Callithrix jacchus: one gene and its partner. The protein of the gene in region 1 purifies or fractionates together with the protein of each later gene. This does not show direct contact. Links are inferred from orthologs where the notes say so. Each region holds a gene or a part of one and is shown on either strand. Other genes may lie near its edges.

What was found.
Region 2: the proteins of SLC7A11 (region 1) and CD44 purify together in Homo sapiens (affinity purification with western blotting; 3 studies listed by BioGRID and IntAct, with this or other methods). This does not show direct contact. The link is inferred for Callithrix jacchus from reciprocal best matches to the Homo sapiens genes SLC7A11 and CD44.

The regions. Positions count from the first base shown.
Region 1 is NC_133504.1:58,856,317-58,860,811, reverse strand, and holds part of SLC7A11 (cystine/glutamate transporter), read right to left. Parts: intron 4,066-4,495; coding exon 3,969-4,065; intron 2,442-3,968; coding exon 2,292-2,441; intron 1,040-2,291; coding exon 862-1,039; intron 1-861. UniProt on the Homo sapiens protein: Heterodimer with SLC3A2, that functions as an antiporter by mediating the exchange of extracellular anionic L-cystine and intracellular L-glutamate across the cellular plasma membrane.
Region 2 is NC_133511.1:100,549,334-100,553,828, reverse strand, and holds part of CD44 (CD44 antigen), read right to left. Parts: intron 2,709-4,495; coding exon 2,580-2,708; intron 1,447-2,579; coding exon of another isoform or gene 1,391-1,446; exon of another isoform or gene 1,148-1,390; intron 1,117-1,147; coding exon 988-1,116; intron 1-987. UniProt on the Homo sapiens protein: Cell-surface receptor that plays a role in cell-cell interactions, cell adhesion and migration, helping them to sense and respond to changes in the tissue microenvironment.

The sequences.
Region 1 (4,495 bases):
CCACATTTTCTTTATCCAGTCTATCATTGACGGATATTTGGGTTGGTTCCAAGTTTTTGCTATTGTAAATAGTGCTGCAATAAACATATGTGTGCATGTGTCTTTATAGTAGAATGATTTATAATCCTTTGGGTGTATACCCAGTAGTGGGATTGCTGGGTCAAATGGTATTTCTGTTCCAGATCCTTGAGGAATCGCCACACTGTTTTCCACAATGGTTGAACTAATTTACACTCCCACCATACCACATGTATGCCTATGTAACAAACCTGCATGTTCTGCACATGTATTCCAGAAACTAAAGTAAAACATTTAAAAAAAAAATTAAAGTCAGACATGTGCACACATATGTGGATGCTGCTATTGTTCTCTTCATTGTTCTTTTTATTACGATCCTTCATGAGTCACCCTTCCTTTCCAGGTAGTGTACAGTCACAACAATTAAGACATTTGCGGCCACTGCCTAACTCCCCAATAAATCTCATGTCACTCATCAGGTTACATGTTATGATATAGAATCACCAAACTGTATTCAACTCAGAAGAAAAATAATTGAGTTAGTAAGGGATTCAAAGAGAGATTAAGTCGTTTAGAGAACTACTGATAAAATTTCATCTAAAACAAAGCTATTTCTCCTAAGAAGTGATTACAGAAGCCCAAATGATATCCTTAAAAGATTCAACAGTGATACCTTAAATGTCTTACCTGCCAAAAAGCAGTTCCAATTAAAATGCAATAGTGTTCTCAAATCATCAGTTGTGCCACTTATATTTTGAAATGTCAAGTATATTATGTATGTACACCTTTGTGGGTTTTCTACATGGTCTTGCACAAGGTCCTGAAAGTATTGAAAATTCTTACCTGACATTATCCTAAACCACCTGGGTTTCTTGTCCCATATAATAAAGAGATAATATGCAGGCACCCCGGTCAGAGTGATGACGAAGCCAATGCCTGTGCTAAATGGGTCCGAATAGAGGGAAAGGGCAACCATGAAGAGGCACGTGAAGGAAAACAAAGCTGGGATGAACAGCGGGATCTGGAACACAGAACACAGAAAAAGCCACTTCAAACATGTTCAAGCCACAGAAGCTGGGTCTGAGATGAGCGTGTCAGTCATGAGACACACTTCAGTGATAAGCTGTAGTCATGTGACCAGGTGACAGGCACCAACGTGCCTCACCTTAGTAGCAAAATCTCTTTCATGGTACACAGATAATGTATCAAACATACTCCTTTAAATGTAACTCAACTTAATTTAAATTTTTTTTAAATATTTGGATAGAACAAAATCTAAGGATAAGAAAGGATATTTTTATTAGAGATGTTCTGTTGGAATTATTTTACTAGTTAAACACCATGACGATTTGTGATTTTGATTGAAAAAGATTGGCTCATTGATAATTATGATTAGAACTCACTTTAATGTGGAGTCAAGAGGACTGGCTGCTTGTTACATGTGAAAGTCTTTCAGTGCATATTGATTTTCTGTTGAGATTCACAATAAGAACTGACAGGAATAAAACAGGCCAACTCCTATTCAACCGCTAATAAAGATGCTGCCAGCATTAGGCAATGAATATTATTAGAAACAACTCCTGACAACATGACTGACATCATTATTTATGCTATTTCCTAAAAGCAAATAAATAGTGAGGTCAAATGGATCCATGAGCGTTCAAGTCTGAAGGAGATGACAAGCATCTTCTCCGGTCTCCAAAACGGAAATGCTTACTCATGGTAAATGGGCATTAGGTGGTAAATTTATAGGTCTTCTCTTTCCCTGTATACTTTACATTCCTATTCCTTTTAGAGTATGTAATATAGAGAAAGAGCATTGTAACAAGTCACAGCATTAAGTACTCAAAATGCCTGTTTTGTACAGCAGCCACCTTTTTGGAATTGGCATTAATGAAGTGTCTTCCTTACTCCTTGTCAGCAAGGCTGTCTACAACCCCAGCATAAAGACAGACAGAAGTCGCCCATACTTTGACTCTATCAGGTCATTGAACACATTCATGAAAACCCAACATGCCAAACATTTATTCATACCGTCATTTTTCAAAAATGTGAAAGACCAAGTTCAGCACATCACATAAAAATTTTGATGAACTATACTTTTCCCAACTTAAAATAAATCCAGTAGGAAAGCACTGCCTGAAAGAGTTAAACATTTTGACTCCGTAGGCTGCTGCCCCCAGCCCAACCTCCCCATCATCAAGTTATGACAATCGGAGGACTAGGTATTAGGTGAAAGATTTATGTAAACCCATCAAGATTGCTGAGGTTACCTTGAAAGGACGATGCATATCTGGGCATTTGTATCGAAGATAAATCAGCCCAGCAACTGCCAGCCCAATAAAAAGCCACCTGGCAAAACTGAGGAAATTCAAAAGACTGTCGAGGTCTCCAGAGAAGAGCATTATCATTGTCAAAGGGTGCTGAGGGGGAAAGGGAGAAAGGCCAAGCTTGGTGAATTCAATGAAAACACAGATGATAAATGACAATAACCTCGCTATGCATTATGATCTTTCTAAATGATTATGTATACTGATAAACCATCATTATGGTTAAAACCTGGATTTGACTCATCTATTTTCTATATTCTGCTGTCATAATCCATTTACACACCAGTAACGTTATGAGAGTGACATCGCCATTACACTTTATTCTAGTGGAATTCTATATGAATGTTGGTTCCTTTTGCATTTGAGAGAAGATCATATGTTTTCAAAGAGTAAAAGAAAGGGTATTTGATGACTCAAAATTGAAAGTCTCAAAGATTGGGATGATTAGTAAATAATCAATAATAAACAGTAAAAGAGACCCAACTGGACGATTTGCAGAAAGCTCTGTAAATGCTCTCTGATGAGCGCTTGGCTATCCACACACAGGAAGCACAGACACTCATAGGTGATTCTGTTGGCTCTTGGCAAAACTTGGCCTTTTTTCCTCCACATGTACTCTCCCCATGTGCTTGCCGTGTGTGACCCTCAAGACCACGGAGAAGAATGAAGCGCAGAGATCAGCTTAGCAATCTCTGCAGCTGCACATGCCAAGGACAGCATGACTGAGAGCAGAGGCTTAAAACGAAAGCCCTCTTCACGGAATAATACATTCTGTTCCCACAAGTGATGTTAACGTCCAGATTCTGCACAGAGAGTACGCATACTTTAAAAAGAAATTTCAAGGAAACATTCTGAAACAAATTAAATGCATGAAAAAAAATGTTCAGGGCATTCTATGGTGCTCCTGACAACAGATTCCAGTTGAGAGAAATGTTACAAAATCATCAGTAGAAATGAATATAACATTGCTAATGGGTATTTGAGGACTTTTACACCTTATACAGTCTTTTGTAGCTCACATTCACAAACACTTTTCTCTGCATAAAGAATTTTGCAACTCAAATTTACATTCTGGTGCTTTTATTTCATCATGATGCTGTGATTAAAAGTGAGACATTTGAGAGCAAATGGTAAAAGACATTCGCTCTCAGATGTCTCACTTTAGATCATAGCATCATGGCACTGTCTAGGATTTTATCCATGCTTTCAGTAATTTTGTGTGCTTTTCATTATAAGGTGCCTAGATCATACCTCTGGGTACTTTTTAGACTGTAGCTTTTTGTTCCACTTTCCTTAAGCAATTGGGATTTAATACTCTACATCATTTTCTGTGAGGTGCTACATCTATGAGAGGAGCCAAGCTAGTCATTTTCCTTAGACCTTACACATTTCTGCAAAGGTGAAAGAGAGGTGATGTGATTTTTGCCCCAAAGCATCAAACAGTCATCAGAAACATGGAGTAAAGAAAAGGGATGGAAGATACCCTGCCTCCCAAACTCCACCACAACATGCATTAGCAATGAATGAGAAGTGAAGTACTATCTAATGTCTGTTTGGAATTCGTTTTTGCTAACCTATTATTCAAGGTTATATCTATATATACTTGTTAATATGCATTACCAAAACAATAACAGCTGGCAGAGGAGTGTGCTTGTGGACATGAATCATGGAGAGAATTTCTGGAAGGTGACCCTCTCGAGACGCAACATAGAATAACCTGATGGGAGAGAAATGTGGTTGGAGTTGACTGCATGATTGATCATTTCAAAGGGAAAAATCCAGAAATCCCAGAGAAAACTTGCATCGTTTTCATACCAAGTTGTTCGGCATTTCTTAGGTGACTGCCTAAGTTTCACTTTTCAAATAAGGTGGAGAAACATCATAGGAAATCTAAATTTGAATTTTACAAAATCTGCCAACATTTTATTATTCTTTGAAGAGAAGGAATAGCAATATCTGACTGGGCATAGCTCTCCCTACATATAAACAGCTGATGGGGAATTTAGTTCTAGAGTCATAGTGTTATATGTGTGTCGTGATTCCAATTCAACAAACACACGCATATGCACATCCACAGGCACACATGCACAGGCAGCATTCGCATTTATCTGACTGGGTTTTGATCTTACATTAAAACATAAAGACTT
Region 2 (4,495 bases), on another chromosome or scaffold:
GAAAGAGCTAATCAGTTCCAGCAAAGCACCAGAATACTGGGTACTCATGTCTGCACTGCAGCCTTTCAACACTAAAATATTTAAGATCTTTGTAGGACAAAAATGTGGTGACTCTCCTATCCCAGATTTCAAACAAGAGCAAGGGCTAACCTGAATCAAAGCCACAAATGGACATTCTCCCAGAAGAAGTCCCACTTGATGATGGGCTCTAGACTCTTGTTCATCTTCCCTCTTATCAGTAGAGTCCTTCAAGAGGTACCACACCATTGTGTAGTTGAAGCCAATTGTATTGTCCTTGACATCTTCATCTATTTAATGGAATCTCTTTCTCTTCATCAGTACAGAGACTTAATATTGATTCCGAAGATCTTTGCCTGGCTTGGTTTTCCCCCATGGGTGTCCTCAGAGCTTCAGCTGCCATGTGCAAACTCATGTGTGCTGGGCCTAGCCATTCAAACATATCTTCCTTTGTGACAAATGGATCCACTCACTTGAAATATTCATTCCTTGGCTTTTCTCCCTTCATGTTTCTCCTTACATGAGTCTCCTTCTTAGAAAAATTCCCCCACCCCTCCACCCACTTCCTTTCTCTGACTATCCAGTTTTTTTTAATTTTTTATAAATCAGGTCCAGTTCACCTTTCTGTGATGCTATGGTAGGTGAGGAGGGGTTCTCAGAATTTCTTTAGCATTCATTATTAGTAACATTCATTTCACATCTATTACTTACTGCCTCACCCAGATATATCTTGACAATAAATGTCTTTTTTGCCAACTGTCCTGACAAATTCCTTACCTTCAGCTCAAGTGTTCATACCAGATGAATATGCATATCACTCCTACCAAGAAAACAAATTTTTGAAGAACCTCAAGTCCTTCAGGAAAGAAGACTGGTCTAAAACCAAGGGCTTATTTCCAGAAAAATAGTCAACAGTCACTCAGTGGATTTCAAAAAAACATAATATATAAAAATTTCAGAGGCTATTACCCATCCTTCTTCCTGCTTGATGACCTCGTCCCATGGGATGTGAGACTGGGTCGAAGAAATCAGTCCAGGAACTGTCCTCTGGGCTTGATGTCGTTGTTCCTTGGGTTGAATGGCTGGTGTGGGCTGAGGCTGTTGTGATCATGCAGTTCAAGCAATTGTCAAAGTGTTAATGGACGCTTGGTCAGGGGTACATTGATTTTATTTTTAAAAAAGACTTGATTCTCTTAACAAGACAGTGCAACCATCTTCCTTGTATAGAGGGCAAGGAAGTTGCATAAATGCAGAATGCTTCAGCAGGTTCGAGTTCACTCATGCTCATTTTCTTCTTAGCAATCAGCATGTGAACTGGAGGACACAAAAGCATTAACAACTCCTGCAGCGCAGAGAGGATGAGTTACAGACATCAAAGGAAGATGAAGGAGAAGTAGTTCTGGACCCATGCCATGCTGCCACAGTCCCCTGAGAGCAGAAGTATAAGAGCCCAAGTGCATGATGTCATACTGAGACAGCCATATTCCAGCCGAATGCACCTTAGGCTGGAAGTGATCTCAGGAAAGAAATCAAGTAACAGCTTTCCATGTGATCAACATGAAAGTCAATGCCGTTTATCTCAAAAGCATGAATGGAATCCATTAGAAGCATTACCTTCTAACAATGGGACTTATGGCATAAATGACACGTAAGACAGCAGCAAATGCCTGGCTTCATTCTGAGCCAGTGAAGAAGTATAGGTAGAAAAGATTACAATAGCATCCTCTTAGCAACAACCACACCACATAGACAGTCAAAGAATCCATTGATCTGCCAGGAATTCATTCAGAACTTGCCATGCCCCAGAAGGACATGCTGCATCACCTTCTATATTGCAAAGAAAAACATGGGACTATTTCTCACTGAACTGAGAATATGGAATTCACCTTCTCTATAAGGCAGGACAGATTTCAATACTATGTCACACAGACAAAAGAATTCTGCATGGGTGCTTGCAGAGCCAAGTTATCTGGCATCACTTAGAGATGATGATAAGACTTGATTCCAATTTCCACAATCTTACAATTCAAGAATAGAGAAGATGCCTTTTTAATACTGAAAAAACAAATTACAAACAGGCATGACCAAAAAGCCAAATGACATCAGACAGGTGTCATTTTTCACATAATGTCTGGCTCTGTTTCTTCAAAGTTTTGACAAAATGCTATATCACAAGAAAATACTTTGTGAGAAATCACATTGTAACTCTGGACCCACATTATAGAATATATTCCTTTGCATGACAAAAGGGGGTATTTTATAATGGCCTCTGCTACAATCTCACTAGAGGAAGCCCAAAACTCGATGTGAAAGAGACATTCTTAAGGGCATATTCTCTGTGCTTCCCGTTCCTATTCCTAATGGCTTGTATTTATTCCTGTTTGGGTAACTTGTTATGACCCTTTAAGATTTGGCTCTGTGTTAACTGCAAGATAATTTATGAAGGAACCTAACATCTTGTGACAATTCCTCCAGTGTCCTTTTGTTCGATGTCTTCAATGTCTACCATTTAACCCAAAAGGAAGTTGCCATCGAAATTTACTTGTTAAACCATCCATTACCAGCTGTCCCTGTTGTTGAATGGGAGTCTTCTCTGGGCGTGTGGAGATATCCCTCATGCCATCTGTTGCCAAACCACTGTTCCTTCTGGGTAGCTGTTTCTTCATTTGTACTACCAGGAGTTGCCTGGACTATGAGAAGAATATCAGTTGGGAGACAAAATTGTCTATTTCTATTTTCCTTGCCAATAGCTGTCACGTATCTTTCTACTTTTTTTTTTTTTTTTTTTTTTTTTGTAGAGACGGAGTTTCGCTCTTGTTACCCAGGCTGGAGTGCAATGGCGCGATCTCGGCTCACTGCAACCTCCGCCTCCTGGGTTCAGGCAATTCTCCTGCCTCAGCCTCCCGAGTAGCTGGGATTACAGGCACATGCCACCACGCCCAGCTAATTTTTTTTTTGTATCTTTAGTAGAGACGGGGTTTCACCATGTTGACCAGGATGGTCTCAATCTCATGACCTCGTGATCCACCCGCCTCGGCCTCCCAAAGTGCTGGGATTACAGGCTTGAGCCACCGCGCCCAGCTGTATCTTTCTACTTTAAGGGCAGATACACATGGAGCTAGAAGGTAGAAAAGAAAGGCAACAAAGAAACAGGCCACTGATATTCTAAAGGGGATATTAGAAATCAAATGATCCAAACGTTTAATTTTTCAGATGTCAAAATTGTGGTCCAAAGAGGTTTTGATTTGTTCAAAATCAAAGTACTAAGCAGACCACAGTTGATGAATTCTCATAGTTCCATGAGTTATTATTTTTATTTTATTATAGTATATGGCATCACATACCCTGTCTGAGAAAACCATTCAAAGAATAACCTCTTTGCTCCAGTCATTTTGAGGAAAGGAAATACTGTACAACAACTAATGACAAGATCAGTGCATTAGGAGACCTTCTCAGATGGTGGTCCTGTAACCCATAATCACACACAATGGAAAGGCACCAGCAGTGGATTTGCCCAGCAGGAAAGGTGATGGGATGGCTTGGATGCTATTCCACTAACACATTGTATAGTAATGTCCACACGGCATCCAAAATTACTAAAATCACTTTTTAACAAAATTAATTCAGTTAACAAAAACTATCCAAGCTAGTCTGAGGCATTATACAAATAATAGTGTGTGACAGGCTTACAATTTCAACCATGGCTTTAAAAAGGACAAAATCAACAGAATAAAGTTTCATAGAGGTGCCTTCAGGAAAAGTCAGACACCAACATTTTTGTCTACACAACTTACAGCAAATTGTTTTTAGTTGATCAAGAAAATGAGAGCCTGTAAACTTGCCAAGTCAGAGTATTTTTTTGCAACTTGTAAAAATGGCTGTTTTTCATTATCTTAGAAAATGATATGTGTAATTTGGTGACAGCAATGACATTTAAAAAATAAAGCATACCATCCTCATTTACCTTTACATTGGCCAAGCCATTCTTGGGTAACTGGTTATCCAGGGGGAGGGGAAGAAAAGCCGAAATCTTTAAGTTTTACCTCCCACTGGCTAAATCACTAATTCCCAACAAGAATGAAGTTGGAAAAACCACTGAATGTAATTACCAGAAAAGGAAAATTGACCCAAATATATACTGCCGTGTTACTCAAAGTTTAAATAAAAGAAATAAGGAAGTGTATGTGTGTGACTGTACAGAAGGACTCTATAGTCCTTCTATCACTACTTTTATAAACATACTGATTTTTTAAGTACCTGTAACCCTTTATTATTTTCAGCTTAAATCGGAATGGGTTAGCAGAACATATGATTTCTATCCTACAAGATGAAGGTTGACTTTCTTCTAGAAGTTGTGATGTTAATTTGTTAAAGCCCAGAAGTTACCAATCAGATCCCTTTGAGTTTCGCAAATACTGATAAGAGAATTGTTACAGTTGTTGCTGTCTTCTCTTTGTCAAGTTACATTCTGTCTGAA